Linked DNA regions of Saccharomyces cerevisiae S288C. The protein of the gene in region 1 purifies or fractionates together with the protein of each later gene. This does not show direct contact. Each region holds a gene or a part of one and is shown on either strand. Other genes may lie near its edges.

Region 1 (16,878 bases):
GTATGGTTGCAATGGCCCTTTCGGATCCCAGGTATGCTAAGGCACCTAAATCGTTGTATTTGAAAGGTTTAAAGTTGTTCTCCTCGAACAAGAGATCAATTTTATCCTTTCTTGAAGATAGATTCTTTTGGAAATTTGGTATTTGAGCCATTTTATCAAAATTCTTGGCCAAATATTCGGCCTCTTGGTGCGCTACTTGGGCGGTTGGTGGCAACCCAGCAAATGCATTGTCACCAATGGCGAAAATGTTGTTGCTGCCTTTCACCTGCAAAAAGTCATTCACTGCCAATCCTCTCTTGGACGAGTTTTGCTCAGGAATTTTCTTGAAAAGGTCAGTGATTACCGGTCTTGCCTTGTTACCCGTGGCCCAAATCAAAGTACCGTATGGAATAGTTTCTTCGGTTATTTTACCGTCTTCGTGTTTGGTCTTTGCCAACAATTGCTTTTCTTCAACTTTGGCGACAGCCGTTCTCAGATGTACTTTGATCGAAGTGTTTTCTAAATGTGATTGCGCGTATGATGAAAGCTTTTTCTCAAACATATTCAAAACGATGGGCAGAGCTTCGACCAAGTGAATTTGGACTTCTTCGGCCAATGCAGGGAGAAACTTTCTCAGGTCCTGGTGAACATAATCCTGTAGTTCACCAGCGGCCTCTACACCAGTAGGCCCACCACCAACCACGACAATGGACAGTAGTCTTCTTCTTTCGGGATCACCCTTTGGCAATAAGTTAGCCTTCTCTAGATTGGCGGCAAAAGTTCTTCTTATTTCCAAAGAGTTGGGAATTTCCTTCAGGAAATGACCGTAATCAGTGACCCCAGGAATACCAAATGTGTTAGGTTCCGCACCTACAGCACTGATTAAATAATCGTACTTAATTTCAGCAGGTTCTGCTTGATGCAGCCCTAGATGGTTTTCAGGTTGGTATAGCTGGCTAACGGCAGATAATGATTTTATGGTAACGGTATTCCTGTCGGGATTGATAGAGGTGGCTTCTGCCTCATAGTAGGTAACGTTCCCCTTTTTCTTGAGAGCAAAATTAACGATGGGCTCAATAATTGACTTTTCGTCTACTGTCCCAACTGGTGCAGAAGGTAACAAAGGCGTAAATAAGAAATAGCTTCTAGGAGAGATGATGGAAACGTTGTACTTCTTGGTGTCAATGTGCTTTAAAAACGAAATAGCTCCCCACCCCGAACCCAGTATCAGCACGTTTGGTTTGTCGCTGTGCTGAGGGTCAATGACTTTCATGGTCTTAAAAGATGTAGGACCTGCTCCGGAGTTTTCCACCCCTGTGGATCTGGTGGAAGCGAATCTGACTAGCGTATTCGTCGAGGTGAGCAACCTCTTGTTACTATACAAATTCTTCGATAGCATAGTGGTTTTTAGTTTCTTCTCTTGGGTAAACGTGTAATTCGATGATGTGATGAAACTGACACCCTACCTGAAACTCCTCAATTGGTAGTTAAAACTCCTTCCCCACTATGCCCTATACATCTTATATATACCCTGTCGACGTTGCAAATACCGGCAATAACCAAGAGCGCTAAGGGGGAGCACTCTTATTGTGGTTACCCGGACGTTCAATGCCTTCATATGATTGGTCCGAATGAATAGGTCATGAGAAAATGCATATTTTTGAGGCATTTCAGCAATGATCGGCAATCTGCACATATTCGTATTGTTTCCCTGAGTAAGTTATTTGCGGAAAGAGACATTCTATTGCTTTGGAGTATTTTGTGGTCTTCGACAATAAAGCGAAGGAATAATAGGTTCGTTGCTAGCGACAAGCAACACATAGTTGTAGTGATGCTATAGCAAAGAAAGGTCACAGATTCATTATTGACCTTTTAAATGGTGCCCAGTGGCAATTGCCGTTTTAGCATTCTTTAAATGCGTAGTATATGAGTTTTAAAGTGCTTTGTTGTTCACGTGCTTTTCACGTGTATGATTACTTAACCGGGTAGCGCCGGTCTTTAATATGCTTTCCAGATTAGGAAAGAACATAAATAAAAACACAAAATAAGAAAGTGTCAATCATCCGCATTGAAAGAAAGAAAAGATTTTTTTATCCCTCAATTGTACATGAAAACAGAGACCTTTCAAAACGTATTTTAACATTCTTTTACTCTTTTCTTGCACCTGCAGCCTTAGGTCAGTAAGAAAAAAAGTAGGTAGCAATGAGCCCAAGTCCATCAGTGTCGCCAAGAAGGACGCTCAATAACAAATCATCTTACATCAATAACAGCGGTGGGCTGGTCCTGCCTCCTACGCAGTTTAATTTGAATCAGCAGCCAGTCCTGAGCTTCCAACAAAAAGCGACTTTCGATTCCAACCAGCAGTTTTTCTATTATCCAGAGTCACCCACAAAAAACCTGAGACCAAGGTTTAACAGTATTTCGCAGGTTAATAAAGGAGTTAATGAAGACCATTATACCGGGGGCGGTAGCAGTAATAATAACAGGCCATCTAGATATACAAATACCATGGGCGCTGCAAACACCAATGTAAATTCCCATCCGCATCATCAGTCGGTGTCGCATTTAAATTCTAAATCTCTTAAATTCAATCAAACGAAGGAAGTGAGCAGCATAAATGAAATTATTTTTCCTTCCAGAACGTGTACAAAGAAACGGTATTTTACCAAGCCAATTGATTTGTATGGTACAAGAAGTAGCACTAGTGTGGCACCTAAGTTGACGAATTCTCCCACGAAATCAAAAACAAATTTCAACATCAAGAAGTGCATCTTACCTAGGTCCGTCGTTACCACATATAAATTACCATCTCCAGTGCACGAAACGATAGACGATATATCCAAAAAAATCATAATCCTGCTAATTTCGTTGAAGTTTGAGAAAAACTATCACTTCTTGCAACCTATTCAATTGTCCACAAATAGTAAGACACGGATCTCAAAATCACTAGACGAATTATGCGGAGTGCAGCTGACATCAACGTTACGGCAACAAAAGCAGCTGCAAGGTAACAGCAAGCCCGTAAAGAATCTCCCTAATTCCAATGCGAAGCAGAGAGCCGGGGCCAGTGTTTCCACAAATGCCAACGAAAGCTTTGAATTGAGTTTTGATGGAAAGGCAATGGATAGATCTGATATATTTCGAATGGTAGATTCTTTTAGCATCGCCATTTCAGATGAAGATGAGGAAGATGAGGAGGAGGATAGCTTTCAGCAGAGAAGTGCGAACAACAGAATCCTCCCTGCGGAGATACTAAGTAATGAACCTTTGAAATGATACGGATTCTCTGTATTCTGTCTATAGTATTTATATACCAATACATTTTTCCGCACTTTGAAGTTTTGCATTTTACTTAATGTAGTTTATTATTAGTTGCCAAAACGAAACATTTAACATGTGAATTAAAAATACAAAAAAAAGCCTATTAACGATCTAAATTTATGACAAAAGACATATAATTATTTTAATGATGCCTTTGTCACAACCGAACACAATATCTTTGAAAAGTGATCCAGCAATCGAATTCAGAATTCGTTGTGCCATTTTTGCCTTACGTTTGCGCCATTGTAATTTCTCTGTGCCGTCTTCTCTTCACTTTATTTCAATATTATCATGCAGTAAACAAGTTGCAGAATAATAAATAATATACGTACCAAATATGTGAACAACTCAGATACTATTCATTTGATATGTTAAAAGTCCTGCATTCCTCTCCCGACATTATATATAAAATGCTCAGCCACCCCTTCGTTGCACAGAAAAAAAGGATGACCTATAATACCAATATTCAATCACAATAGTTATACCAAACTAACACATGGTTGAAGCAGACTACTTACTATCGTGGAGTTAGCTCACTGAAAATTTAATATTTACAGCATTAAACAGTTTTTTCTTTTGTTTTGTCTCCTACATTAATTTCAATATGGATAGCCAAGTAGAAGGCAAAATATCCCCCTCACAGAAGGAGTCCTCCTCCACCTCAGGCCTCGTTTCACCTAGTGAAGATGGCCCAGCACATCAAAAAATACACAGAGACCAATTAAGTGTGGATCAAATCAAGAAAATCAGAGAAGAACGTGCTCAGAAGAGACAGGTACGTAGGAACTCTCTAATATCCCAAGGGAAGGACCCTGACTTCCCAACGCCTGACTTACAATTCATTGAAAGACCATTCCTCCCTATCAACCATGATAATTCGAAAGGTCTTACGCCAGCGACCATACAAGTCACCCAAGATTCATTGGACGTTAAAATAATGACCTATAATACTCTAGCACAAACCTTGATTAGGAGAGATTTTTTCCCAGAAAGTGGACCAGCGTTAAAGTGGCATAAGAGATCAAAAGTTTTGGTCCACGAATTGAAAAAGTACAGGCCTGATGTAGTATCGTTGCAGGAGGTCGATTACAATGAACTCAACTTCTGGCAGGAGAATTTCCATAAGTTAGGGTTTGATGTGATTTTCAAAAGGCATGAAGGGAAAACTCATGGACTACTAGTTGCATGGAACAATAAAAAATTCCAGTTAGATAATGATTGGATGCTGGACTACGATAATATATTGGCGGGAAATGTCATTTCAGCAAGAACAAGAACTAAAAATATTGCCCTTATTATATCGCTATATTTCAAGGGTATAACAGATTCATCATCAAGAGGAATTATCGTCGCAAATACACACCTATTTTGGCATCCCTTTGGGGTATTTGAAAGATTAAGGCAATCTTACTTGGTTTTACAAAAGATCCAGGAAATTAAAGCATGTTCCAAATATAATGGCTGGCATAGCCTACTGATGGGTGATTTCAATACCGAACCTGAAGAGCCACCGTACTTGGCCATAACGAAAAGACCACTGATATTAAAAGGCCCAATAAGAGCTATGGTGGAATGCTCACTAGCGTATCGGTATTCAAAAAAAAGGAATGGAGAAGAAAGTGACCAGGATGATGAAGAGTGTGATGAAAAGTCTAGGGGCGAAGGCCATTCAGATCAACCACAAAACCCAAAACCAGAGAGCTTTACAGCCACAAAGGAAGAAAAGGCTCTGGTAAATCAATTAGTTGCGTTGCATAATTCACTACATGTGAAAGGCGTATCTTTGTATGGGATTGGCTACGGTAAAGTGCATCCTGAAAATGCTAACGGAAGCCACGGCGAACCGGGACTCTCAAACTGGGCCAATACATGGTGTGGATTATTAGACTACATATTTTATATCGAGGGTGATCATAATCAGGACACGCGTCAGAAAGAGCCTCTGAATGCTTTTGAAGGAAATAACAACGTAAAAATAATCGGATATCTGAGGATGCCGTGCGCACAAGAAATGCCCAAACACTCCCAACCTTTCGAGGGAGAATATGCTAGTGATCACATTTCCCTAATGTGCCAAATACGCTTGTTTTTTGGGGGGGAGAAAGTGCATAGCTTAAAATAAAGAAACAATATATATAAACAACCTACATTTGTGTTTGAAAGACAGTAATCAACGCTTCGATGGTCACTGGGATTTTTCTTTCAATTTAGCGTCACTTTCACCTTATTCACAGCTTTTACGTGCTATTTTTGGTCACCCTTCCCCTTTCGTTGCGCCTCAACGGGCTAAAAAAAAAAAAATAAAATCAAGCATAGAAACACCACAACAAACCTGCCCTTTTTCCTTGTTTCAGGTTACGTGAAAAGCATCCAGAGAAGATATCCCAAAGACTGAAGAGGTGTAGTTGGCTCATTCACGTCGTTCGTTTATATTATCAAGGAAGGGGTTTTTGATCGGCTCGAACAAGACTCGCAAGAATCCGTTTTCTATTGTTTTTTTTGAGGATTCCAATATGTCAAATTCCAATTCAAAAAAACCTGTTGCGAATTACGCATACCGTCAACAGCAAGATTATAATGGGATGAACGCCATGGTGGGAAATCCAATGATGTATCATCCTGTTGATTTCGTAAACGGTGCCGGCCAATATGGTCCTTCTCAACACCCAGCATATTACACCAACTCACCATTACCTAATATTCCACCAACACCTTTTGATACTGCATACGGTGCCAGTCTTTTTCCATCTCACCTATTGATGGGATCTCCATTTGTTTCCTCGCCTAACATGCAAAGTGGCTATAATTCTGCAAGATCATCTAATCTCAAAAGAAAGGCTTATTCGAGGCCCGTTTCTAATCATAACGGTTACAACGGAAACAGTAACAGTAACCAAAACAATACTAATAACGGAATGGTAACACCCTCGAACTATTATAGAATGGGGAGAAATTCTTTCTCGAGGAACAACAACAGTACGAGGAATGTTACTCACAACAACAATAAGGGGTGCGACACCCGGAACAACAGTGGAAGAAGAACATTCGCAAGGAATAACATTTTCGACGACATACTTCCAGAAATGCTTTTACAAAGACCCTTTTGTATTAATTACAAGGTTCTACCGACTGGTGATGATGCTTATAGAACTAGGTCGCTGCTTATTGAAAATGTGGATCATTCTATTGATTTACACTCTATAGTCAAAAATTTTGTCAAATCCAATACTCTGGAAAGTGCCTACTTAATTGAAGGAGGGAAGAGCGATGATTCAAAAGATGTAGAGACTAAAAATCTATCCATTCTAATAAGCTTTCTAACCAAAGGCGACTGTTTGAACTTTTACAATAACATTTTACAAAGGTTATCTGAATTCAAAACATTTTTGAAATCTGAAGCACTAAATCTGAAATTTGTTTGTCTAAACTATGATCCCAAATGCCTCCCTACCTTTATTGAGAGTGAAGCGTTAACAGAAAACGCTGAAGAAGCCGACATTACCAATGGTTCAACAATGATCAGTGCTTCGCTGCATCATAATATAGCGAACAAAGATGCTACAAGGTCGATTATAATTGAATTCAAAAGCCCCGTGGAGAAAAGCGATTTATTCAAAAAGAAATTACAATTTTTGGACAGGTCAAAAAACAAAAGATACATTTTGGAATCTATCGATTTAGTGAACACAGATGTACCTTCCAATCAATTTCCTGAAAATTACGCCGTTTTAACCTTTTTGAATATCTCTATGGCTATTGAAGTTCTCGATTATTTGAAAAAATACTCCAAAAACTTAGGCATTTCTAAATGTTTTTACGTATCCCTAGCCCCGTTGGTAGTTAGCTCAGCCAGATCTTCGGTTGCTAATATTTACGAGGGTAAAACGAGCACACATCGTTTATCGGTGCCTTCTGTTACTGCTGGGAACAATAACGATAGCAACAACAACGGAAACAATAATAAAAGTAATATGAGTGGTATCACCACACTCAATAATAATAGTAGTATTGGTGTTTCCGTATACGGTCACTCTAATATGAGTTTAACCAGTCTGTCATCATCTGTATCTTTAAATGAAGAGATTGATATGCTTGCGACGAAACTTCAAGGGGTAGAACTTGATGGGACTTATTTAGAAATCAACTATCGCGACTATCAAACACCAACTATTGAAGAACACTCTACTCACTTGAGCAATGTCAAAATTTCAAAGACAACAGAAAACTCTAGGCAATTTTCTCAAGATATCCCATCACCTTTGCCATTAAATGAACATATGTTTATGAATGATTCTAATCAGTCCAATGGAGCGATAATACCTCAACAGTTAATAGCCACACCTTCTCCGGTATCCCCCAATTTGCAAATGAATCAAAGGGTGTTGCCGAATCCAATAACTCAAAGTTTGGAGCAAAATTTCAACGTTTCGGCCAAAGTGGCATCATCCATGGGTTCAGACATAGGCAATAGAACAATTTATATAGGAAACATTAATCCAAGATCAAAGGCGGAGGATATCTGTAATGTCGTGCGTGGAGGAATCCTTCAGAGCATTAAGTACATACCGGAGAAGAAGATATGCTTTGTTACTTTCATCGAAGCTCCATCCGCTGTACAGTTCTATGCAAATTCATTTATTGATCCAATAGTGTTACATGGGAATATGTTGAGAGTTGGATGGGGGCATTATTCTGGTCCATTACCGAAATTAATCTCGTTGGCTGTTACGATCGGGGCAAGTAGGAATGTCTACGTAAGCCTACCAGAGTTTGCATTTAAGGAAAAGTTTATTCACGACCCTCAGTACAAAAAATTGCATGAAACACTATCTTTACCAGATGCGGAACAACTAAGAGAGGACTTTAGTACCTATGGTGATATTGAGCAGATTAACTATTTGAGTGATAGCCATTGCTGTTGGATAAATTTCATGAATATATCTTCTGCGATTAGTCTTGTTGAAGAAATGAATAAGGAATCCACAGTACAAAATGAATCCGGTGAAGTGACGCTTAAAAGGGCGACTGAGGAAAAATTCGGTGGCCGTTATAAGGGCCTTCTGATAAACTACGGCAAAGATCGTTGTGGCAATATAAACAAAAATTTGATAGCAGGTAAAAATTCAAGATTCTATAAGAAAGTTAAAAGACCGAGCTATAATATACGTTTGAGTAAGTTGGAAGAAAAGAGGAGGCAGAATGAAATCGATGAAAAGGAAAAGGCTTTTGATAAACCCTTGAACTTGGAATCCCTAGGAATTAGTCTGGACGCACATAAGGACAACGGCGGTGGTGAAACAGGAACTGCAAATAATACTGGGCATGAAAATGAAAGTGAACTAGAGGCTGAAAATGAAAACGGTAATGAGACTGGAAGTTTCGGTGGACTGGGTCTCGCTGTGGCGAGCTCTGACGTCAAACGTGCGACATCGGATGAAACTGATTATGAAGATATATTTAACAAGTCATCGGGATCTTCCGACTCGTCATCAGACGTCGAGGTCATTATGCACTCCCCGAGCGATCCTGAATACGCTTTAAAATCACAAACTCTAAGAAGCTCGAGTCAGACCGTCATTAATAGTAAGAGACCAGTAAAGATAGAAGACGAGGAAGAAGCCGTAGGAATGTCACAGCTCAATTATAGGTCGTCATTAAGACAAGCTCCTCCAAGAGCTCCCTCAACTTTGTCATATAATCACTCGAAGAACAACGAAACGCCAATGCAAGATATTTTCACAAATGGCGAAACAGCAAATAACAGAAAGAAGAAGAGAGGATCTTTTGCAAGGCATAGAACGATACCAGGATCTGACGTCATGGCCCAATACCTTGCACAAGTGCAACATTCGACATTTATGTATGCAGCCAATATTTTGGGCGCCTCTGCGGAAGACAACACGCATCCTGACGAGTAGTATAGCTGTGCTGAGCCTGAAGTATAATGCATATCCATCGGACTATTTAGACAAAGCCCAAGGAAGCCTAAGGCGGCCTGCCAAGGTGTTTCTCCCTTTTTTTCTCCGATTTCTTTGTATAAACTAAATAATATAGTGATTACTAATGGAATGGCGGTATTATGCACCTAACCTGTTCATTCTGCCACAGATTACGTAAGCGATTTATTGCCGGCACTTGTTGTCTTAATGACCGAGTCACCAATGTGGAACGATAATTTTCTCTGACTCAAACCTGTTAATTTTTTTCTACTTCGTTTCGTTAGCGACGACGTCAAGCCGCAGGATCCTGTCTGCCTTGACCTCTTCTCTACCTTCAGAACTTACACTTTTCAGGTAAGATGACCTTTATATAAAAGTTGACACTATTACAGTTGTTTATAAACGTCTGAAGAATGAGACGTTTTTATAAAATGAATAAAATGCATATTCTAAGTTTAAAACAACATTTTCAAAGTGTACGATTGTAAAAAGAGAGGCAATTAGAGAATCTCAAACAGGTAATAATAATGGGCAATCAGTCATTAGTTGTGCTTACGGAAAGTAAGGGTGAGTATGAGAATGAGACAGAACTACCTGTTAAAAAATCGTCACGAGATAATAATATCGGAGAATCTTTAACAGCAACAGCTTTTACGCAGTCTGAAGATGAAATGGTAGATAGCAATCAGAAATGGCAGAACCCAAACTATTTTAAATATGCATGGCAAGAATATCTTTTTATATTCACATGCATGATAAGTCAGCTTCTAAATCAAGCAGGCACTACACAGACTCTTTCGATCATGAATATTCTTTCGGACAGTTTTGGCTCAGAAGGAAACTCAAAGTCATGGCTGATGGCATCTTTTCCGCTAGTTTCAGGCTCATTTATTTTGATTAGTGGCAGACTAGGTGACATATACGGATTAAAAAAAATGTTGTTAGTAGGATATGTTCTGGTTATTATATGGTCTTTGATTTGTGGGATTACCAAGTATTCTGGTAGCGATACTTTTTTTATTATTAGTAGAGCCTTCCAAGGGCTAGGGATTGCATTTGTTTTACCTAATGTGCTGGGAATAATTGGTAATATATATGTAGGTGGTACTTTTCGTAAAAACATCGTGATTAGTTTTGTTGGTGCGATGGCCCCTATTGGAGCAACTTTAGGTTGTCTTTTTGCAGGACTGATCGGTACCGAGGACCCAAAACAATGGCCATGGGCATTCTACGCGTATAGCATAGCCGCTTTCATTAATTTTGTGCTCTCCATATATGCCATTCCGAGTACTATACCAACAAATATTCATCATTTTTCTATGGATTGGATTGGTTCTGTTTTGGGCGTGATAGGTCTCATTTTATTAAATTTTGTGTGGAACCAAGCTCCTATATCGGGTTGGAACCAGGCTTACATCATCGTAATTTTAATCATTTCTGTGATTTTTCTTGTCGTTTTCATCATTTATGAGATTCGATTTGCCAAGACTCCACTATTGCCGCGCGCAGTTATAAAGGATCGTCATATGATTCAAATTATGCTGGCTTTATTCTTTGGATGGGGCTCTTTTGGCATCTTTACGTTTTATTATTTCCAATTTCAATTAAATATAAGGCAGTACACGGCATTATGGGCTGGTGGAACTTACTTTATGTTTTTAATTTGGGGTATTATTGCCGCCTTACTGGTAGGATTTACTATCAAGAATGTGTCTCCATCAGTGTTTTTGTTCTTTTCTATGGTAGCATTCAATGTGGGCTCAATAATGGCAAGTGTTACACCGGTTCACGAGACATACTTTCGTACTCAGTTAGGAACGATGATAATTTTAAGTTTTGGGATGGATCTTTCATTTCCTGCTTCTTCCATTATCTTTAGTGATAATTTACCGATGGAGTACCAAGGCATGGCTGGGTCATTGGTGAATACTGTTGTCAATTACTCCATGTCCTTGTGTCTCGGTATGGGTGCCACAGTAGAGACACAGGTCAATTCAGACGGAAAGCATCTTTTGAAAGGCTATAGAGGTGCTCAGTACCTTGGGATAGGATTGGCAAGTTTAGCATGCATGATTAGCGGGCTTTACATGGTCGAAAGCTTCATAAAAGGCCGCAGGGCAAGAGCTGCTGCAGAATACGATTGCACTGTGGCTTAGCGGAAAGCGGTTATTAAGGTAAATAGATAGAAATACACCGCTGTCATGCGATTATATAGACATGGGGCATTTAGACACTGAAAGTCTTCATATCTCAACATGCAACTAGTAATAGTACAATTTTTAGTACCCTTTAATCTTTATTGTTCGCTCCCTAATAACGAAGCCTTGAACTGTAACCAGATCCCAGGTTACCCCTTATCCTTAAGAGGTCTTTTATTTACTCTACATAATATATATTTTTCAATCCATTGAAGAGGATTAAAAGAAGAAAAATCAATACCGAACAAAAAAACAAAACGAAATAAAACAAAACAAAAAATTAAATTAAATTAAATTAATATTAAATGTCATCATGATTCTTACTCTGATTGTCTTCTCTTCTCTCTTTCCCTTGACGCAATTTCCTTCAAATCGTCATCGCTCGGTTCATAAATATGCCAAATAGTATAATGCGGTAAACCACCAACCCTGTACCCCATTTTCTTTGCCATTTTACCAAATGCTTCTGTTTCTGCATGATTTTCAAAAGTAAATGCAGGAAACTGTACCCCGTTTCTAAATATTTTGGCCTTCGCCAAAATAGAAACTCCCCCTACACCGTCCAAGTCCACCGCTTCATTTGGATCACCTTCTGCATCTCTGATATAGGCTAAGTGAACTCTCCACGTAGGATATTCTGCATAGCCTTCTACAATAACATCATCTTCGTCAAGAGTCTTTGCCAATGCTAGTGCCTCCTGAGATTCCATCCAAGAATTCAAATCATATGGTTGTTCAGTTCCCAAAAATGTAGGTAGTGGTCTCCAAACGTTAGGGACGATAACATCGTAGTTTTTGCTCATCAAATCTTGAATGACTGAACCAGGGCACAGCTCTACATCAGCATCTCTCCAATAAACCCATGAGTGGTAAGGTTTCAAAGCATTGGCAGTTAACCAATTTCTTGCCCTCCCCATTAGTTTTCGTCTTATACCTTGAACCTTAACGGCATGTCTGTCACTAAAACCTTGTCCAATTACTTGGCCAAAATCCTTTTGGAAAATTTGTACTGATCTAAATGGCTTGTCATAATTTTCATGGAATGGTGGTGAAAATGCCTGGTGGACACGGTTGATATAACCTTCGTCCATATATTTAAGATATAATTTATCGGTGCCTTTTGTTTGCGAATCAATGACAGCGTCAATCTCTTGAAAAATCTGAGACAACGTGCCATTTTGTAAGTGCCTAGAATACGCTATTAAAGCATCCAACGTAGTGTCACCTTCTGAGCAATCACTGACTAAAAAGGCCAGATCAATCAGCTCGTGTGGATAGGTTAGGTTCATTAAATGCTTGAACATTAATGGCAATACATCCGCAGCGTTTCTTAGTGGAATGCATAAAAGAATGTGATCACGTGTTTCCAATCCATTCGGAGCACCTTCAAAATTCGACAGGTCGTACTCCTCAACAGTGGAATCAAAAAGCATGTTGAGTTCCCTTTGGTATTTTTCATCATCCTTGGGAGTCAACACTTCTGAACCAAATTGTGATATTAGATAATGTTGCACACCATCATCAAATTTTGAAATCACTTCAGGATCGATATCCTCAAAATCATAGTCGTAATATTCTTCATCTTCTAGGTCGATAGTCTTGTAATTTTCGGAGGATTTTGAGGAACCCAACAACGACCTACCATTTTGCGTGGATACACCAATGCCCATTCCGGAGAGAAATGATATAAAGAGATATAACGACAGAACGGCGATAATAATAAGAGATGTGATACTCACCGTAAGCTGGAATTTAGACGGTGTGGAGCGCGGCTGGTACCTGTATTTGCCCTTTAATGAGTTGGAGTTATGCTCTGAGCGTTTGTCCTTGATGTTGTTCGAGCTACCGTTCCTTGAAATGGGCAGGCTTAGTCCATTGTCCATGGCTTTCTTCTTTATATTTGACCTTAAATTAAAAAACATGCCCATTTTTTTGTGTTAATTGGTAGGTCAACAAGCTCAAATGACTGTTACTGCACCCTTACGTCTACTTCTTTCACGTTACCATTTACTAATTTACAAGACGTAAACTTTCTTTGATTCTAAATATTTCAAGCCTTGTTTCGGTATAGTCGCCGAAGAACGAAAAAAAAAAAAAAAAAAAATTCCTCTCCGGAGATAAATTGAATACGTATTATTATATTAGGGACAAACACTGGTTCACTGAAAGCAGTTGTTTACATAGTTATATCGTGATCTGTGGCTATATCTGCAGGAGGAGATGTCGGGGCGTTTTCATTAGGCGTCGAATGAGGAGAGTGACTTGTAGTAGCATCGATATTGGTTGTGTTATGTGCTACAGGTGTAGTATTTGTAGTATCTTGCGCTGTCATTGTTGGCGGTTCCGATTCCGCGACCAGGTTCTCCGCAGGCATACTCGACATTTCATTCTCATCTTCACTGCTCCCTAAGATGCCAAATAAGTTTATGTCATCGTCCTCATCCTCGGCGTTTGTGTTGATAACTATGGTAGAGTTGTTTAATGCATTAGGGGTGGTCGTGTCGTCTGCAGCGTCCCTTGCGTGCTCGTTATTTAGTAGAAGCTCAAGATCATGGCCTTCATCTTGTTCCCTCTTTGTTCGTTGTGAAATAAGCTCTTCTTGCCGACGTTTTAGCGATTTTGCTCTTTCTTCCTTGGCCATTCGTATTTTTTCCTTCTTCAACTTCTGGACCTTAGGTAAATTGTGCATGAATAGTGTCATAGACTTACGAAATTGCAATTCTATGGTTTTTTGTATGGTTTTGTGAGACTGGTGAGGACTCTCTGGAAGGTAGAGAGTTTCAGAAATTTTCAAGAATGGATTTTTTGTTCTTTTCAACTGATTCACTTCAAATTTCGTGACACGTTCTCTCGCCAATTCCACTCTATACTTCGCATACTGCTCGATATTGTTTTCATTGAAGGACTTTTCAGTTATGGTTGGTTTCCTTTCTTCCAGCGCGTTGCCCCAAATCTCCAATTGTTGCTCGATAGCGTCCTCATCGTCTAAACCCGGCGGTTGCGGGGTATTTGACGCTGATGATATGTGGGAGAGACTTTTGTTCAAGTTCAATAGTGCCTTTTCAGACTCTTGGCTTTCTTTTACTATTTCTTTCTTGATGGTTTTTAGATCAGTAATTGGATGGTTGAACTCAGGTGTAAACTTATAGGTATGGTCAGGCGGAAAGTTGGGCAGCCAACTCGGTATCTGTTTTTCCAGTGGGTTAGAGGGAGGCAGCAAAACGTTGATCTCGTTCTGTTGCTCCTCGATATTATTCAATTCGTCCTCTTCATCTTCTTCGTTATGCGGTAAAGCAGCAAGAGACGACCAGCTCATCAATTTTTCATATTCCGTGGAATGCTTCGATTTGATGAATTCTGAGGCCTGAAACTGCTGATAAAGGGAGGGCGCATCCAGGTTAAACTCTCGAAGCAACAATTTCAAATCTGCTTGAGAAGCTTGCGACCTTCTTTGTAAAAGTGTTAAATTGTGCAGGTTCCGAAACATGCCGTCCATTTGGACGGTCACGAGGTTGACCAGCTCATCCAATGCAAAGTTTGAAATGCAGATGTTCAACGAATTCAACTGGAAAAGTACTGTTTTCTTTAGAATTTCAACTACGGGAGCATCTATTTCCAAGTGACTAATTTCCGTCAAATCCGGTAGGTTCCTCAGCTGAACTATGGTACTTTGGGTACCGGTACCACTTTCTGACGTTTTGGAAGTCATTGCCCTTTATGAGTCCCTCAATTACACGTTTGTTTGCTTGCTTGCCTCTCTCTCCATTGCTTTTACTCTCTTTTTTAAAGAGTTCAAGATTTTCTACATAAAAGCATCGGGTAACACTCCCATATACACCATTTGTGCTTAAGCTGGCTTCTACCAGTCGCGTTTCAAGCGACTTTATTGATCGCATCAGCGTAGAACAAGAACAGAACTATGTATGCAAACAGGACTAATCATCTTCAGTTATCTTACTTTAGTTTGCAACTATTTATATCATGTTTTCTTTTCAACTTCTTTTTTTTTTTTTCGTTTATGAAGCCGATGCTAATGCATCAATTTTTTTTTTTTGGTGATGAGTTTTGAAAGAAAATGAAAAAAAAAAAATTTCTATTATTGTCAGTGGAGTTTTTGAACAGATCACCTTGTGAATCTACAAACTGTCCTAAAGTATATTGGAGCAGGACATTGGGTGATGGCGAAAACTTTGGCACAAGGAAGGAAACCTGGAAGCGGCAGAAAGCCCGGAAAAGGGAAGACGTTGAGAGAGGGAAGAAAGCCTGGCAGTGGTAGGAGGAGGAGGCAAGATACTGGGGGTAAAGAGACCGACGGGTCTCAGCAAGATCAGGAGTCGCGTCTTATTAGTTCCAGGGACATGGAAGCTGTGGACGCACTGAGAGAGTTGACGCACAGCCCGTCGTCTCACTCAGCTCATAATTCATCAGCAGCACCACCGCCGCATGCAGCAGCGGCGTCAACTTCATTGCCTCCATCTCTGGATTATACCCATCAGTCATTCATGGATCAACAACAACAACAGCAGCAGCAGCAGCAGCAACAACTACTACAGCAACAGAGAGTGGACGTCGTTCCGCCCAAGCCGTTCATCACCCACAAGATCCTGTTATCTTCAACGGGAAACTCTGGCGGCCACGTGAATTCAAATTACAACGCCGACCACAGCATTAATCATAATTCAAACCACAACCTTAACAGCAACGTGAACGTGAACATGAACTTTACTATAAATGGGAGCAATCAAGACCCGTCATCTTCTTTCCTGATGGGGCCCTACAACTACTTACAGCGGCCTTTCATTGTGAAACCATATCTTGATCTGTCCACAAGCACAGCAGCATCAAATCAGCCACGGACGCAACCATCGCCGGCAGCACATATCACTAAGAATTCCGATTCTACAGAGAAAAACGCAACCATATGACATTCATTTCCAGCATACCACTAAAACATTCGTATATGCCACATAATAACTAGTTGAGAAAACCATAGATATTTATATTTATATGTATTTGTACTTCTTTGAGCAATGTATATTTAAGACTGATCTCAACTTCAGCAACTGTTCAAATTCACTGTTTTTCCTAATTAAGCACAACATGAAAAACTAGAATTTTAGAAAGAAAAGGAAAAAGAATACCAGATGGTAGTTAATTTCTCACAAAAGCACTGCCAGGTAAAGGTATACAGCAAGGATGGACTCTCTTGAAGCTAGATTACAATTCATTCAGGTCCTGAAGAACCTGCAAAAGACGCTGCACAAGACCAGAGACTCTATCACATCATCGTCGACCACCACACCACCGTCATCGCAACAAAAGCTGAACAATGACCCTATACAGTTCTACTTGAGAAACTACAGACATCACTACGAGGACTTCCACCAATGTTTGTTCGATACAACCATGAAGATGGACCCACTAGATAGACTGGACGTAGT
Region 2 (15,774 bases), 440 kb from region 1:
AATATTCACTTATTTCTCACATCATTATGAAGTGACTCCCCTCGGTTAAACGTTAGCGTGTTCTTCATTGCCTGTGGATGAGGATGAGCGCCGGTGCAAACTTTCAAGTTTTTCGAGAGCGTCTTCAAACTTAGCTACCACATTGTTGTCTACATCAACAAAAGTATGGTTCCATACTAAACTACCATCTTCTTTATTGCCGCTTAATTGTAACACGTCTACATTACCAGAATGATGAACTCCGCCTGTCAGATAGTCGTGCTTTGGTGCGGTCTTGATAAAATTGTTGATTGCTTCCATCGATATCATGATTCAGCCTAGGATTTGTGGGTTGCTTTGATTGATTGGAAATGATCGACTATGAGACCTTGAACCAGTTTAATTTTAAAATAAATATTTTTGTTGAACTAGTTCAGCAACCGAAATCCAGAAAAAAAGTTCTAGAAGAATAGTTTTATTAACTTTGAGAAAGTAAAAGCTGAGATAAAAAACCAGCTCAACATATAAGAATACAAGCTGACGGTAAATAACAATAAGTAGCCTTGTTGGCGCAATCGGTAGCGCGTATGACTCTTAATCATAAGGTTAGGGGTTCGAGCCCCCTACAGGGCTTCTTTTTTTGAAGATTCAAGTAAATATGCTGCATACATAATTCTCATTCAAAATATATACACTTAAGACATCTGGCCTTTTCTAGTTAATCTATATATTTAGTTCTTATAATAGATGAATGTACCGTCAACCAAAGATTAGCAGTTGGAGGGCGTTAAAAACAATTTACCATTGCCAGGATTCGACAACACTATTGTAACGTATTTCTGTTTCTGGTCTTGGAGTAATGTTTGTAGTCTATTAGCGGAAGTACCTTTTTACAGTGTCGACACAATTTGACTATTTTTTCAACTAGATTACCGCATGTCCGTCAGGGCATTTGTTGTCATGCAAAAAAATGAATAAAAAAAAAGGGCATCATCAAGAGAAGAAAACCTAATTAACGAGAGTGCAGGACATATGCACAAATAATATATCTCACACCATAATAATGTCAAGTGAGTCAACAACTTTCATCGTGGATGTTTCACCATCAATGATGAAAAATAATAATGTTTCCAAATCTATGGCATATCTAGAGTACACTCTATTAAACAAATCTAAAAAAAGTAGAAAAACAGATTGGATAAGCTGTTATCTCGCTAATTGTCCCGTATCTGAGAATTCCCAGGAAATACCAAATGTGTTCCAAATACAATCCTTTTTGGCTCCTGTTACCACGACGGCCACCATTGGGTTTATAAAACGCCTGAAACAATATTGTGATCAGCACAGTCATGATAGTTCGAATGAAGGCTTACAATCAATGATTCAATGTCTGTTGGTCGTCTCATTAGATATTAAACAACAATTTCAAGCAAGAAAAATTCTAAAACAAATTGTTGTATTTACAGACAATTTAGATGATCTGGATATTACTGATGAAGAAATAGACCTGCTAACGGAAGAATTAAGCACAAGAATCATTTTGATTGATTGCGGTAAAGACACTCAAGAGGAGAGGAAAAAATCGAACTGGTTAAAGTTGGTCGAAGCGATACCGAATTCAAGAATCTACAATATGAATGAACTTCTTGTTGAAATCACTTCCCCAGCAACATCTGTCGTTAAGCCAGTAAGAGTATTCTCAGGCGAGCTTAGGTTAGGGGCAGATATATTATCAACACAAACATCGAATCCTAGCGGCAGCATGCAAGATGAAAATTGCTTATGTATCAAGGTAGAGGCTTTTCCTGCTACGAAAGCAGTTTCAGGCTTAAATAGGAAAACCGCTGTTGAGGTGGAAGACTCCCAGAAGAAAGAAAGGTATGTGGGGGTCAAATCCATAATCGAATATGAAATTCACAACGAAGGAAATAAGAAAAATGTCAGTGAAGATGACCAGTCTGGATCGTCATACATTCCCGTGACCATCTCCAAAGACTCTGTAACGAAGGCATACCGTTATGGTGCAGACTACGTAGTGCTACCGTCCGTTCTAGTCGATCAAACTGTATATGAATCTTTTCCAGGCTTGGATTTAAGAGGATTTTTGAATAGAGAAGCTCTTCCAAGGTACTTTTTGACGTCGGAATCCTCCTTCATTACCGCCGACACAAGACTTGGCTGTCAATCTGACTTAATGGCTTTCAGTGCTCTAGTGGATGTTATGCTAGAAAATAGAAAAATTGCTGTTGCAAGATATGTGAGCAAGAAAGACAGTGAAGTGAATATGTGTGCATTGTGTCCCGTTCTAATTGAGCACAGTAACATTAATTCCGAGAAGAAGTTTGTTAAGAGCCTTACCTTGTGTAGATTACCATTCGCGGAAGACGAGAGGGTAACTGATTTTCCAAAACTTCTGGATCGAACAACTACATCCGGGGTACCGCTGAAAAAGGAAACAGACGGGCATCAAATCGATGAGCTTATGGAACAATTTGTAGATTCAATGGATACAGATGAGCTACCAGAGATTCCGTTAGGCAACTACTATCAACCCATAGGCGAAGTAACAACAGACACCACTCTCCCACTTCCCTCTTTAAATAAAGACCAAGAGGAAAACAAAAAGGATCCTCTTAGAATACCCACGGTTTTTGTCTACAGGCAACAACAGGTGCTACTGGAATGGATTCACCAACTGATGATCAATGATTCCAGGGAATTTGAAATCCCAGAGCTTCCTGACTCATTGAAAAACAAAATAAGTCCTTACACGCACAAGAAATTTGATAGCACAAAATTGGTTGAAGTGCTCGGCATCAAGAAAGTAGACAAATTAAAACTCGACTCCGAACTAAAAACTGAGCTTGAGAGGGAAAAGATCCCGGACCTAGAAACGCTATTGAAGCGCGGTGAACAACACAGTAGGGGAAGTCCAAACAATAGCAATAATTAAAAAAGGTCTAACATCCTTTGAGTTATGTTTTCGTCACCACAGTTAAAGAGAAAAAAAAATAAATAGCGGGTAAATAATTGTCATACTACTGATTTGCATTGTTACCTTGTAACTTTGAACACTAGCCATGCAGGTTGCTTTTCCTCCTTTACACCTTCCCCCCTGTCGCTGTTCAAAAGTAAATGCAACAACAATAAAACGTGGGTAGAGGACGTTCCCTGTATGTACTAAAATCATACTATCATCCGTTGAGGTCGAGCGGTTCTCTAATCTCAACACACGCTGCTGCCCCTGAGCTTGCGAGCTAAGGACAACAGGGCCAACTTGTTCTTTCTAGGGGGGAGAGGCCCAACTTAGGCTCGGTGAAGAGAAGCGCGGAGCTCACGAAAAGGGGTGGTGTCGCGCACTACTTTTTTCGTGGGGAACTTACGTGAAAGGGGACGTTATACTTTTGTTATGTGCAGTTCCAGGAACAAACAGGGGTTGAAAAGTGTAAAAGAAATAGTTGATTCTTTCAGAATCTGGATGACTGCCGCCCGAACAATGTGGGAAATATAAAAAGGTACCGTTAATATTGTTTCATTTTCGAAGATAGTGTTCCATGTCTTTCTTCAGCGTTGCTTGAACAATAGGATAATAAGAAGAAGATCAACCAATCTTTCTCAGTAAAAAAAGTAACAAAAGTTAACATAACATGTCATTTCAAATTGAAACGGTTCCCACCAAACCATATGAAGACCAAAAGCCTGGTACCTCTGGTTTGCGTAAGAAGACAAAGGTGTTTAAAGACGAACCTAACTACACAGAAAATTTCATTCAATCGATCATGGAAGCTATTCCAGAGGGTTCTAAAGGTGCCACTCTTGTTGTCGGTGGTGATGGGCGTTACTACAATGATGTCATTCTTCATAAGATTGCCGCTATCGGTGCTGCCAACGGTATTAAAAAGTTAGTTATTGGCCAGCATGGTCTTCTGTCTACGCCAGCCGCTTCTCACATCATGAGAACCTACGAGGAAAAATGTACTGGTGGTATTATCTTAACCGCCTCACATAATCCAGGTGGTCCAGAAAATGACATGGGTATTAAGTATAACTTATCCAATGGGGGTCCTGCTCCTGAATCCGTCACAAATGCTATTTGGGAGATTTCCAAAAAGCTTACCAGCTATAAGATTATCAAAGACTTCCCAGAACTAGACTTGGGTACGATAGGCAAGAACAAGAAATACGGTCCATTACTCGTTGACATTATCGATATTACAAAAGATTATGTCAACTTCTTGAAGGAAATCTTCGATTTCGACTTAATCAAGAAATTCATCGATAATCAACGTTCTACTAAGAATTGGAAGTTACTGTTTGACAGTATGAACGGTGTAACTGGACCATACGGTAAGGCTATTTTCGTTGATGAATTTGGTTTACCGGCGGATGAGGTTTTACAAAACTGGCATCCTTCTCCGGATTTTGGTGGTATGCATCCAGATCCAAACTTAACTTATGCCAGTTCGTTAGTGAAAAGAGTAGATCGTGAAAAGATTGAGTTTGGTGCTGCATCCGATGGTGATGGTGATAGAAATATGATTTACGGTTACGGCCCATCTTTCGTTTCTCCAGGTGACTCCGTCGCAATTATTGCCGAATATGCAGCTGAAATCCCATATTTCGCCAAGCAAGGTATATATGGTCTGGCCCGTTCATTCCCTACCTCAGGAGCCATAGACCGTGTTGCCAAGGCCCATGGTCTAAACTGTTATGAGGTCCCAACTGGCTGGAAATTTTTCTGTGCTTTGTTCGACGCTAAAAAATTATCTATTTGTGGTGAAGAATCGTTTGGTACTGGTTCCAACCACGTAAGGGAAAAGGACGGTGTTTGGGCCATTATGGCGTGGTTGAACATCTTGGCCATTTACAACAAGCATCATCCGGAGAACGAAGCTTCTATTAAGACGATACAGAATGAATTCTGGGCAAAGTACGGCCGTACTTTCTTCACTCGTTATGATTTTGAAAAAGTTGAAACAGAAAAAGCTAACAAGATTGTCGATCAATTGAGAGCATATGTTACCAAATCGGGTGTTGTTAATTCCGCCTTCCCAGCCGATGAGTCTCTTAAGGTCACCGATTGTGGTGATTTTTCATACACAGATTTGGACGGTTCTGTTTCTGACCATCAAGGTTTATATGTCAAGCTTTCCAATGGTGCAAGATTCGTTCTAAGATTGTCAGGTACAGGTTCTTCAGGTGCTACCATTAGATTGTACATTGAAAAATACTGCGATGATAAATCACAATACCAAAAGACAGCTGAAGAATACTTGAAGCCAATTATTAACTCGGTCATCAAGTTCTTGAACTTTAAACAAGTTTTAGGAACTGAAGAACCAACGGTTCGTACTTAAAACGAATGATTTACTAATGGCTTAATGATTTTCACCTTTTTCAATGAATATTAACGGTAAAGAAGAAAATTTCAATTTTTTGAACACATACTTTATATACTTAATAGATCCATATTTCGACATATTAGCAAACGATTGCATAGGTTTCTGAGTCTTTTTTTTTTTTTTTTCATAAGGAGGAGAATATTTTGGTTAATCGCAGTATCTTCTTCATAAGTGCTGTTTCTAATTATATCTAATTCACGAATTTTTCCCAAATTAGCGTATCCCCGAATTCAGATTACCTACCCCGAGTTTTTTATTATATTTCCCTCGAGAAATCTGTAAAATGGCCGTCATCCTTAGATTTATAAATAAAATGATAAAATTCAGCCAAAGTGCTCCTAAACCAGAATTGTTCAACTGGGTCAAATTATCGCGTATACAAATATACATATAGTAACATGCATTCCTGGCGAATATCCAAGTTTAAGTTAGGAAGGTCCAAAGAAGATGATGGGAGTAGTGAAGATGAAAATGAAAAATCGTGGGGTAATGGCCTGTTTCATTTCCACCATGGAGAAAAACATCACGATGGTAGCCCGAAGAATCATAATCATGAACACGAACACCATATAAGAAAGATCAATACAAATGAGACTCTCCCAAGTTCCTTAAGTTCTCCAAAATTACGTAATGATGCATCCTTCAAGAATCCATCGGGGATAGGAAATGACAATTCTAAGGCTTCCGAAAGGAAAGCTAGTCAGTCGTCTACTGAGACGCAGGGACCGAGTTCGGAATCCGGACTAATGACAGTGAAGGTGTATTCTGGTAAAGATTTTACTCTTCCCTTCCCTATCACCTCTAACTCTACTATTTTACAAAAACTACTAAGTTCCGGCATCCTTACTTCATCATCCAATGACGCTTCCGAAGTTGCAGCCATAATGCGGCAGCTACCACGATACAAGAGAGTGGATCAAGATTCAGCAGGGGAAGGCTTGATAGATAGAGCTTTTGCCACTAAATTCATTCCTTCCTCTATATTGTTACCTGGGTCAACAAATTCAAGCCCATTACTTTATTTTACAATTGAATTTGATAATTCTATTACTACTATTAGTCCAGATATGGGAACGATGGAGCAACCAGTGTTTAACAAAATATCGACATTTGATGTAACAAGAAAATTACGATTTTTAAAAATCGATGTCTTTGCAAGGATTCCATCCCTACTTTTACCCTCTAAAAACTGGCAACAGGAGATTGGCGAGCAGGACGAAGTACTGAAGGAGATTTTAAAAAAAATCAATACAAATCAGGATATCCATTTGGACTCCTTCCATTTACCTTTGAATTTAAAAATCGATTCTGCAGCCCAAATAAGACTATACAATCACCATTGGATTTCTTTAGAAAGGGGATATGGTAAATTAAATATCACGGTGGACTACAAACCTTCTAAGAACAAGCCTCTCTCCATTGATGACTTTGATCTATTGAAGGTTATCGGGAAGGGTTCGTTCGGCAAAGTGATGCAAGTAAGGAAAAAAGATACCCAAAAGATTTACGCTTTGAAGGCTCTGAGAAAAGCATATATTGTATCGAAATGTGAAGTGACACATACTTTAGCGGAGAGGACTGTCCTAGCAAGAGTTGACTGCCCCTTTATTGTTCCGTTGAAGTTCTCATTCCAATCTCCGGAGAAGTTGTACCTAGTATTAGCTTTCATTAATGGCGGTGAACTGTTCTACCATTTACAACACGAGGGACGATTCAGTCTAGCACGCTCCCGTTTTTATATTGCAGAACTATTATGTGCTCTCGATTCATTACACAAACTTGACGTCATTTATCGTGACCTAAAGCCTGAAAACATTCTATTGGATTACCAAGGACATATTGCACTGTGTGATTTTGGGCTTTGCAAGCTGAACATGAAGGATAATGACAAAACAGACACTTTCTGTGGTACTCCCGAATATTTGGCACCAGAAATCTTGTTGGGGCAGGGCTATACTAAAACAGTTGACTGGTGGACATTAGGTATCTTACTGTATGAGATGATGACAGGGCTGCCACCATACTATGATGAGAACGTTCCTGTTATGTACAAGAAAATTCTGCAGCAACCGCTACTATTTCCTGATGGATTTGACCCTGCGGCAAAAGACCTATTAATTGGCCTCTTAAGCAGAGACCCAAGCAGAAGACTCGGCGTTAACGGTACAGATGAAATTCGTAACCATCCTTTCTTTAAAGACATCTCATGGAAAAAGCTACTTTTGAAGGGCTATATTCCGCCTTACAAGCCAATTGTAAAGAGTGAAATAGATACTGCAAATTTTGATCAAGAGTTCACTAAGGAAAAACCGATCGATAGTGTAGTGGACGAGTACTTAAGTGCAAGTATTCAAAAGCAGTTTGGTGGGTGGACGTACATTGGTGACGAACAGTTGGGTGATTCTCCTTCGCAGGGGAGAAGCATTAGTTAGAAGCAAGCCGAAGCAAGCCGAGCCGAGCCGGACGGAATTTATAGCTATAGCCGCAAGAGGTTGCAATTTTCAAAAATGGATAGTTCAAGTAGATTGCGATACGCACTCCGTTACTATTGTGGTTAACGGGGACAAGAAGAACTACAGAAAATAGAATGGTCCGCAGAGGCTGCGCTCTTCTTTTAGCAACTCTCACACGACTTATGTTGCTTATTCATTTCTTTTACAGCATTATCAGAATTCTTCCATCTACGGAATTGAGATCAAAGACCGACCTGTTGTCGGCCGAAGGACGGACGCTTATACCCGCGGATGTCAAAGCGAAGCCCGCGGGGCGCAAGTCGAGGTTACCGGAATTCGCCAAACGGCAAAGGACCCTTGCATTGCCTGAAAGGAAAGATTCGCTTTTCTGTTTGTTGCCACTTTTCTTACATAGTCTGGGCCGGGAGCAGCTTATTTCTTCCGCGGATGATCCTGGATTTCCTTGCGCGGGCTCAGCCATGGGGAGCCTTACCTAGTCCCGTAAAGGGAAAAAGCTAACCTCATTCGCCTCACAGGGTGAAAGCGTGAACAAAAAAAAAAGAAAAGCTTAATGATTAAAATTTACAGTATATATATATTTGTATTTACGTATTAAACTATATATAAATAGATATGTATGCCGAAAAAGTAAAGTCTGGGTGATGCCTAGTCCAATCTTTCTTACTACTGTCCAGTTTCTATCGTAGCAGTTAATTATACATAGAACTGTGTAAATTCAACGCATTAATTTTTTTTTTTTTCACTTTCGCAGTTAGGGGGGACACATTTTTTTTGCCCTTTCTTAAGCTTCGTAAGCGAGTTACATCATTATTTCTTCCTGGGATACAATACGCGTTCGTACAAGTCACAGCTGGACCGTATAGGGAACAAGACTGCAACTCTCTCCAACTTGTTAAACAGAGGAGGAAAAGAAAGAGGGAAAAGAGGAACAAAGACAATCAAAGAAAAAGAATAGAAAGCAGTTGCTGAGCTCTTGGCATATTGTATACGGTAGTGGCGTATAATATAGTACGAGAATTAGAAATATGACGAATATGGCGGAGGATAAAACAAGTATAAGCAAGGTACATTCTGAATTCAGCAATTCCTCGAATACCACTGGATCTGAAGAGGAGAGTCGGTCGCATCAAGAGAGCTTCGACGGCGAGTCCAGTTCCGGTGAAAGTAAAAGTAAAAGCAAACTAAATCTTGAATATTCTGCAGATATCGAGCCATTGAAGTTCAGAATGACAAAAACTAATAATACAAATGACAAATTAAAATATAGTAACAACGGCAACGCCACTGATTCATTTATGAGACTAAAGGAACATTTACAGAGAGGCAATACTTTAAATTCGAATCTTAGGGTCAATGAGTTTTACCCTTTCAATTCCATTGATACAGAGCAATTTGAAAACTATTTGAGAGAGCCAAAATACATTAAAATGTTGAAACGTCGGAAAAACCTGAAACAATTTAGAAGATTGTTTCTCGCGCAAGAACTAATGGCCTACGAAGGTGAAACGGTTACCTCCACTTCCAAATCATCTGAACCAACCTCTAAAGCTATATGGAGTACAAAGTTTAGCCGCGATGGAAAATTTATGGCCACTGGTAGCAAAGATGGTAAAATAAGAATATGGAAAGTTATTGGCTCTCCAGTTGAAAGAGCCGAATTGGACTCGAGTGCGGAATCAAATAAAGAGGCACGAGCCAAGTCGATGCGGATCAAACAGCAGGTCAGTTCATTGAACAATCCAAAAGAAAAACAATTTTTGGATTCTGCTACAGAGAAATACGAAGAGAAGGAAAAATTATTGAATTTGTATGCGCCTGTCTTTCACCCAACGCCTTTGCGACTGTATAAAGAACACGTGCAAGATGTTCTGGATATAAATTGGTCTAAAAATAATTTTATTTTGTCAGCATCGATGGATAAGACAGTAAAACTATGGCATCCCGATAGGAAAAATTCACTTAAGACATTCATACATCCTGATTTTGTCACTTGTGTGGAATTTCACCCCACCGACGATAGATTTTTCATTAGCGGCTGTCTGGATCACAAATGCAGGTTATGGTCTATACTGGATGATGAAGTTAGCTTTGAGTACGATTGTCAAGACTTAATAACATCTGTTACATTATCCCCTGAGGAGGGAAAATACACTATAATAGGAACATTTAATGGATACGTTCATATTCTGATGACCAGAGGTCTCACTCCAGTTTCTTCATTTCACGTAGCTGATAGACAAACACAAGAACAAAACGCTCACGTCATGGTCACGGAAACTGACTCAAAAATTCGTCATGGTCCACGTGTGACGGGTTTGCAAGCTTTTAGATCTCAACTGGACAATTCTTTCCGCTTAGTAGTTACATCGAATGATTCGAGGATAAGAATTTTTGACTTAGAACAGAGGAAGCTTCTAGAGGTATTGAAAGGCTTCCATAGCGGATCTTCCCAACACAAGGCACAATTGTCCATCTGGCATGGTCAGCCAATCGTTGTAAATAGTAGTGATGACCATTGGGTTTACGGCTGGAGGTTAAAGTCTTCGGATAGAGAGAATGATCAAGACGAACCTAAAAGGAAACCAAAGGGATTGGCTCGGTCCGGAAGTTTGAGAAGCATATTTAGTAAATCAATGAGTAGGTCTTCCAGCCAGAATAACGAAGAAAAACCACATCATCATTTAAAACTTACTAACTTACTTCCCTTGCCTCATCATAGCAACGATCATTATATCAAAAATACGGATTACATTTCTTTTCATGCACACAATGCCCCTGTTACTTGTGTTAGCATTGCACCGCCAGAAACTTCGAAAACATTATCTTTGTCTAACGATGTTATCTGCGAGCTATCTCTAGAGTTTTTTCAGACATCCGATAGTTTCGATGTTTTGAGTCGGAGTAACGACGATGGCATAATGTCAGATGTAGAGTCGTCTTTGGGCTACAATTCTAAACCAGGCTCAATTTCTAATGCTTCCGCCACCAGTGCTATCCCAGATGTCGTTGACGCAATTGGAACGATATTGATCAGTACTGATAACGTAGGGACTATTCGTGTGTTTAGAGCAGATATGCCCTCTGTTATAAGAAAGCGCGTGTTACTCAAACTAGAAGAATACAATAGAGAGGTTCGGAGAAGGTTTAACAGTTCTGATTCTTTGCATTCTTTGAGTCGAAGCTTCAACTCGAGAGCGAAATCAAACTTGGCTGGCCAACCGGCAGCGGCGTATACTAATACTGGAAAAGGCTATGCAACGGGACGTGGATACTCTAATATATGTCCCAAAAGCAGTACATCACTAAAAACACTCGGCAGTAATGCACAGCCAAGAACACCAAGGGAAAGCATGTCATCTATTTTCTCCAATGCACATGGGCCTACCACTCCAACGAGCGCAATGAATTTACCTATCCGTTGCAATGTTTGTAACGGTTCAAGGTTTGAGGCTTTTTCTGGTGCTAATGACCAACAAGATAGAAACTATTATTGCGTAGACTGCGGTACAGTAGTTAATAACTTCCGCTAACGCTGATGGAGTATTTTTTTTCCGTGGATGATACCTTTAAATGCATATTAATCTTCGTACATAAAGTAAAGAAACACGATACACTTAAATAAATTTTAATCTAATAATTAATGAACGCTAACAATGAGCCTATCATTTGTTGCCGATATACTATAACGTATCTCTTCGAAAGAACAAAACGGAGTGAGTGCCTGTTAAGGGTAACTACTCCAAACTGAGTGGACCTCGGCGGCTAAAGCTATACTTTTTCTGTTATTTAAGGGACCTAAAAATACACACAGAGTAGATTAAGATTTGGTGCACTTTTCTCAATTTATCAACTTATAAAGAACAGGCTGCCTTTCAAACATAGGACGTTTCTGTTGACCATAATGAAAATGCCCAGTATTATTCAGATTCAGTTTGTAGCCCTAAAAAGGCTTTTGGTAGAAACCAAAGAACAGATGTGCTTCGCAGTGAAAAGTATATTTCAGAGAGTATTTGCGTGGGTTATGTCATTAAGCTTGTTTTCATGGTTTTATGTAAATCTTCAGAATATTTTGATAAAAGCATTAAGGGTAGGGCCAGTGCCTGAACATGTCTCCTTTATCATGGATGGTAACCGGAGATATGCCAAGTCAAGAAGGCTACCAGTAAAAAAAGGCCATGAAGCTGGTGGGTTAACGTTACTAACACTACTGTATATCTGCAAAAGATTGGGTGTAAAATGTGTTTCCGCCTATGCATTTTCTATTGAAAATTTTAATAGACCAAAAGAAGAAGTAGATACGCTAATGAATTTGTTTACGGTAAAGCTTGATGAATTCGCAAAAAGAGCCAAGGACTATAAGGATCCCTTATACGGATCTAAAATAAGAATAGTAGGTGATCAATCTTTACTATCTCCAGAAATGAGAAAAAAAATTAAAAAAGTGGAAGAAATCACACAGGATGGAGACGATTTCACTTTATTTATATGTTTTCCTTACACTTCAAGAAATGATATGTTACATACTATTCGTGATTCAGTTGAAGACCATTTGGAAAATAAATCACCAAGGATTAATATAAGAAAATTTACTAATAAAATGTACATGGGTTTCCATTCCAATAAATGTGAATTATTAATCAGAACAAGTGGGCATAGGAGGCTCTCAGACTATATGCTATGGCAAGTACATGAAAATGCCACCATTGAATTTAGTGATACGTTGTGGCCAAATTTTAGCTTCTTTGCTATGTACCTGATGATTCTCAAATGGTCCTTCTTTTCCACCATTCAAAAATATAATGAGAAGAATCACTCATTGTTTGAAAAAATACATGAAAGCGTTCCTTCAATATTTAAAAAAAAGAAAACAGCTATGTCTTTGTACAACTTTCCAAACCCCCCCATTTCAGTTTCGGTTACAGGAGATGAATAAGTAAAAGTGCAAAACTAGAAAGCCCAAGAGAGGGCAAAGAACATTCTGAAAACTCCCTGATTCTTCCATACCTATTACCATATTACATCATTTTTAATTAGTAGTCTTTTAATTATCTATTATATCCGGTATATAAAATATCCTTGCGCCAAGTGTATAGCTAATAAAATGTAAAAAAAAAAAAAATTAGGAACAAAAAATAAAAAAAGCGAAAACAAAAAACTCCGTTAATGAATATTTCATGATCTTGTTAAACCTAGGTCATCGAAATCCCCTTGTACTTTACTCAGGTATGCTATTTTCATCCCTATTGCTTATTTCATCAGGTACGGTGGTGGATATATTAGGAGTGAACGTACTGGTAGAATTCGAAACATCAGCTGCTGTAGTAGCGGTGGCATTTAAAGAACTAGGCTCATTTGGGGTATTGACACCTGTGGTAGTATTCGTGGATCTCATATGACTTGATCCAACTTCGTGACACCAATACCTATGATATCCCCATGCTTTTAATTGACACTTTCGTGAGCAATATTTCGTTCTTTTGCATCGACGACATTTTGCAAATTGTCTTGGAAAATCTTCCCATTTTCCGCACGAAAAATTGGCACACTGACGCACACCTAAGATCTCATTTTTTCGACATGAATTTCTCATGATGACAGAACTCCAATATATAACATCATGTGTATTTTCTGCGCTCACTGTATATTTTTCGACTAAGGGGAAGATGTTTACAACATTTGTTAGTACCTTGTTTTTGTAAACAATATTTGTTAATTCCTTTTTCATTTTATCGTAGCTCCAGCGCCTTTCAAAGTTATCAGATATTTTCTTCCTTAAATTAATTCTTTCCTTGTCTTTGCCATAGGCATTGTCGTCGCTAGGTTTCGGTACACGGTAGCGCTCAAACAAATTAAGAACGGGACAGTGGTTATTACATATTTCATTTTGTTCTTCTTGTTGACATCTGTTTGAGAGTTCTTCTAATTCTTTGAAAAATGGATCCATTTTGCTAGTATCTAGTGCCTTAACTTTGGAATTGTTTTCAGGATTTTTCGATAAATAAGGATATAATGAAGACAATTTTACAGTTACGTCTCTTTCTTGTTCTTCTAAGTCATTCTCTTCTGAGATTCTCTGTTTAATTTTGTAAGCCATACTTCTGAACGATAGGGATTCAACCAGCTCAACATTTTGAAGGGTTGATTTCATATATGTATACTTCGAAACAAAAGCTAATAACTGAAGCGACCATATAACGTCGTCTTGTTTGGGGACAATTCTTCCGAGAAAAAATTCACGTGGAGTGGAAATTGTAGGTCTATTAATGTCTGGTTGCGAAAAGAAATTCTTATGTGCATCAAAATTTTCACTTTCTACTTCACTATCAATATCAATGTCGTCGTCGTGTCTTTCCTGGTCAGGTTCAAAATTGCTAGCTAGGTCTGCAAACCGGCCCCATATATCACTAAAATCAGTTGGAATTGTCATAGACGGTGCCACTAATCGTTCGTTTAGAAAATTTTTGTCAGTTGACAACTTCAATTTATCCTGACCTGTAATGAACTCTATATACTGCTGATATGTTTCATTCTCATCTTTTCTCATGAATTTATACATTGTCTCCGTGGTTATCCCTTTGAAGTCAAAGGTCATTGTTTGATCTTTGATGAAGTCGTAATTTTTATGATATAGTAAATAGTTATCCAATACTGTGACCAGCACAGATAAGACCCCAGACATTACCACTTTTTTACGAATTTGTTCTGTCCCTCTAGTACCTGTCAATACTAAGCACTGAAATGTTAAAGTCCATTTCCAAGCGCATAGTGCTAGTCTTTTCTCCTTCCATAGATCCTTTATGTTTTCGTGCTCATTAAAATTTTCTAAATCCAAATCCAGCAACTCAAACAAACTTAAATGACAACTCCTCAATATTGAGACTAATCTTTCGAGAGCACCGTCGTTAGCTACCGTTTCCCTAACTTTTGATGAATTAGAGGTTAGATATGTTAAGTAGTTTAGGGAGTTTATTAACGGAATACTAGAGTTGATATCCAATGCCCTTCGGTCATAGACAGTAGATGTTATTGTTACTATAGGCTTGTTCGACGTTAATGATCGATGATTAGAGTCTCTCATTTCTTTACCTTTTCTTTGTTTTGAATATTTCAAATTACGTTCTATACGCTGTTATGATATGTTAATATAGCAAAAACAAACAAAAACTCCCAGGGAAATGAATTGAAAAATGCAACAAATAGGGACCTCACCTTTGTATAATGGAAGATTCCCAAGTTTCACTTATAGTTGATCAATGGGTATGATGAAATTAGCAAAGTAAAAAAGGGAATGTTTAATGGTTCAACTTAGATAAATGGAAGGTTGAATATGAGAACCAACAAAAATAAAAAATAAATAAAGTCTCAAATTATCTATATCGCTCTAATGAGGAAGTCACTGTGCACACTTACAGAAACTATATAAAAAACGGATATTTTTCTCTTCAGGTAGGGAAGTTTGTCCAGCACTTTCTTCCTTGTGAGCTGCTCTAGGTCTTTCGTTTGTATAGGCCGACCATCAATAACCCAACTCTCAAATTTTGCCACTGAACACCCATACAATACATAACCAAAGTATTCTAGTTGTTATCCTAGCTCGATGCATTGTTGTAGTAGGCCTAATAAGAAGATAGTTCAACCAAGAAAAATAGTCAAAAGGCTTTTTGCCGTTTGAACCATCATAAACTTATGGAAGCCATCTAAATAATTTTCCTTTTTCCTGGTTCCTTTCTATGTATCCAAAGATATATATTAAGTAGCCCACTTCTAGCCAACTTCTAGCCCACTTCTTAGGTAGTAACTATACGCAGCTGCTCCAGGAGGGAAAGAAAAAACCAACGGTCTATATTGTAATAACTATTAGTTTTCTTTCTCTTTCCGTGGGCTTCAACGGCCTTTATATAGCTCTTATTATTCGGAGT

The links.
Region 2: the proteins of NAB6 (region 1) and LAF1 purify together in Saccharomyces cerevisiae (affinity purification with mass spectrometry, with the first as the bait; one large-scale study listed by BioGRID). This does not show direct contact.

The regions. Positions count from the first base shown.
Region 1 is NC_001145.3:28,430-45,307, forward strand, and holds NAB6 (Nab6p), read left to right. Parts: upstream 1-5,813; coding exon 5,814-9,218; downstream 9,219-16,878. Other genes in the region: NADH-ubiquinone reductase (H(+)-translocating) NDI1, read right to left, coding at 1-1,378; YML119W (uncharacterized protein), read left to right, coding at 2,182-3,255; NGL3 (3'-5' poly(A) RNA exonuclease), read left to right, coding at 3,905-5,422; ATR1 (borate transporter), read left to right, coding at 9,767-11,395; VAN1 (Van1p), read right to left, coding at 11,758-13,365; TAF8 (Taf8p), read right to left, coding at 13,614-15,146; DAT1 (Dat1p), read left to right, coding at 15,616-16,362; CTK3 (Ctk3p), read left to right, coding at 16,634-16,878. UniProt on the Saccharomyces cerevisiae protein: RNA-binding protein that associates with mRNAs encoding cell wall proteins.
Region 2 is NC_001145.3:465,459-481,232, reverse strand, and holds LAF1 (Laf1p), read left to right. Parts: upstream 1-8,880; coding exon 8,881-11,385; downstream 11,386-15,774. Other genes in the region: YMR106W-A (uncharacterized protein), read right to left, coding at 46-309; ATP-dependent DNA helicase YKU80, read left to right, coding at 1,043-2,932; YMR105W-A (uncharacterized protein), read right to left, coding at 2,975-3,169; phosphoglucomutase PGM2, read left to right, coding at 3,627-5,336; putative protein kinase YPK2, read left to right, coding at 5,780-7,813; YMR103C (uncharacterized protein), read left to right, coding at 7,969-8,331; SRT1 (ditrans,polycis-polyprenyl diphosphate synthase), read left to right, coding at 11,757-12,788; MYND-type zinc finger protein MUB1, read right to left, coding at 13,071-14,933.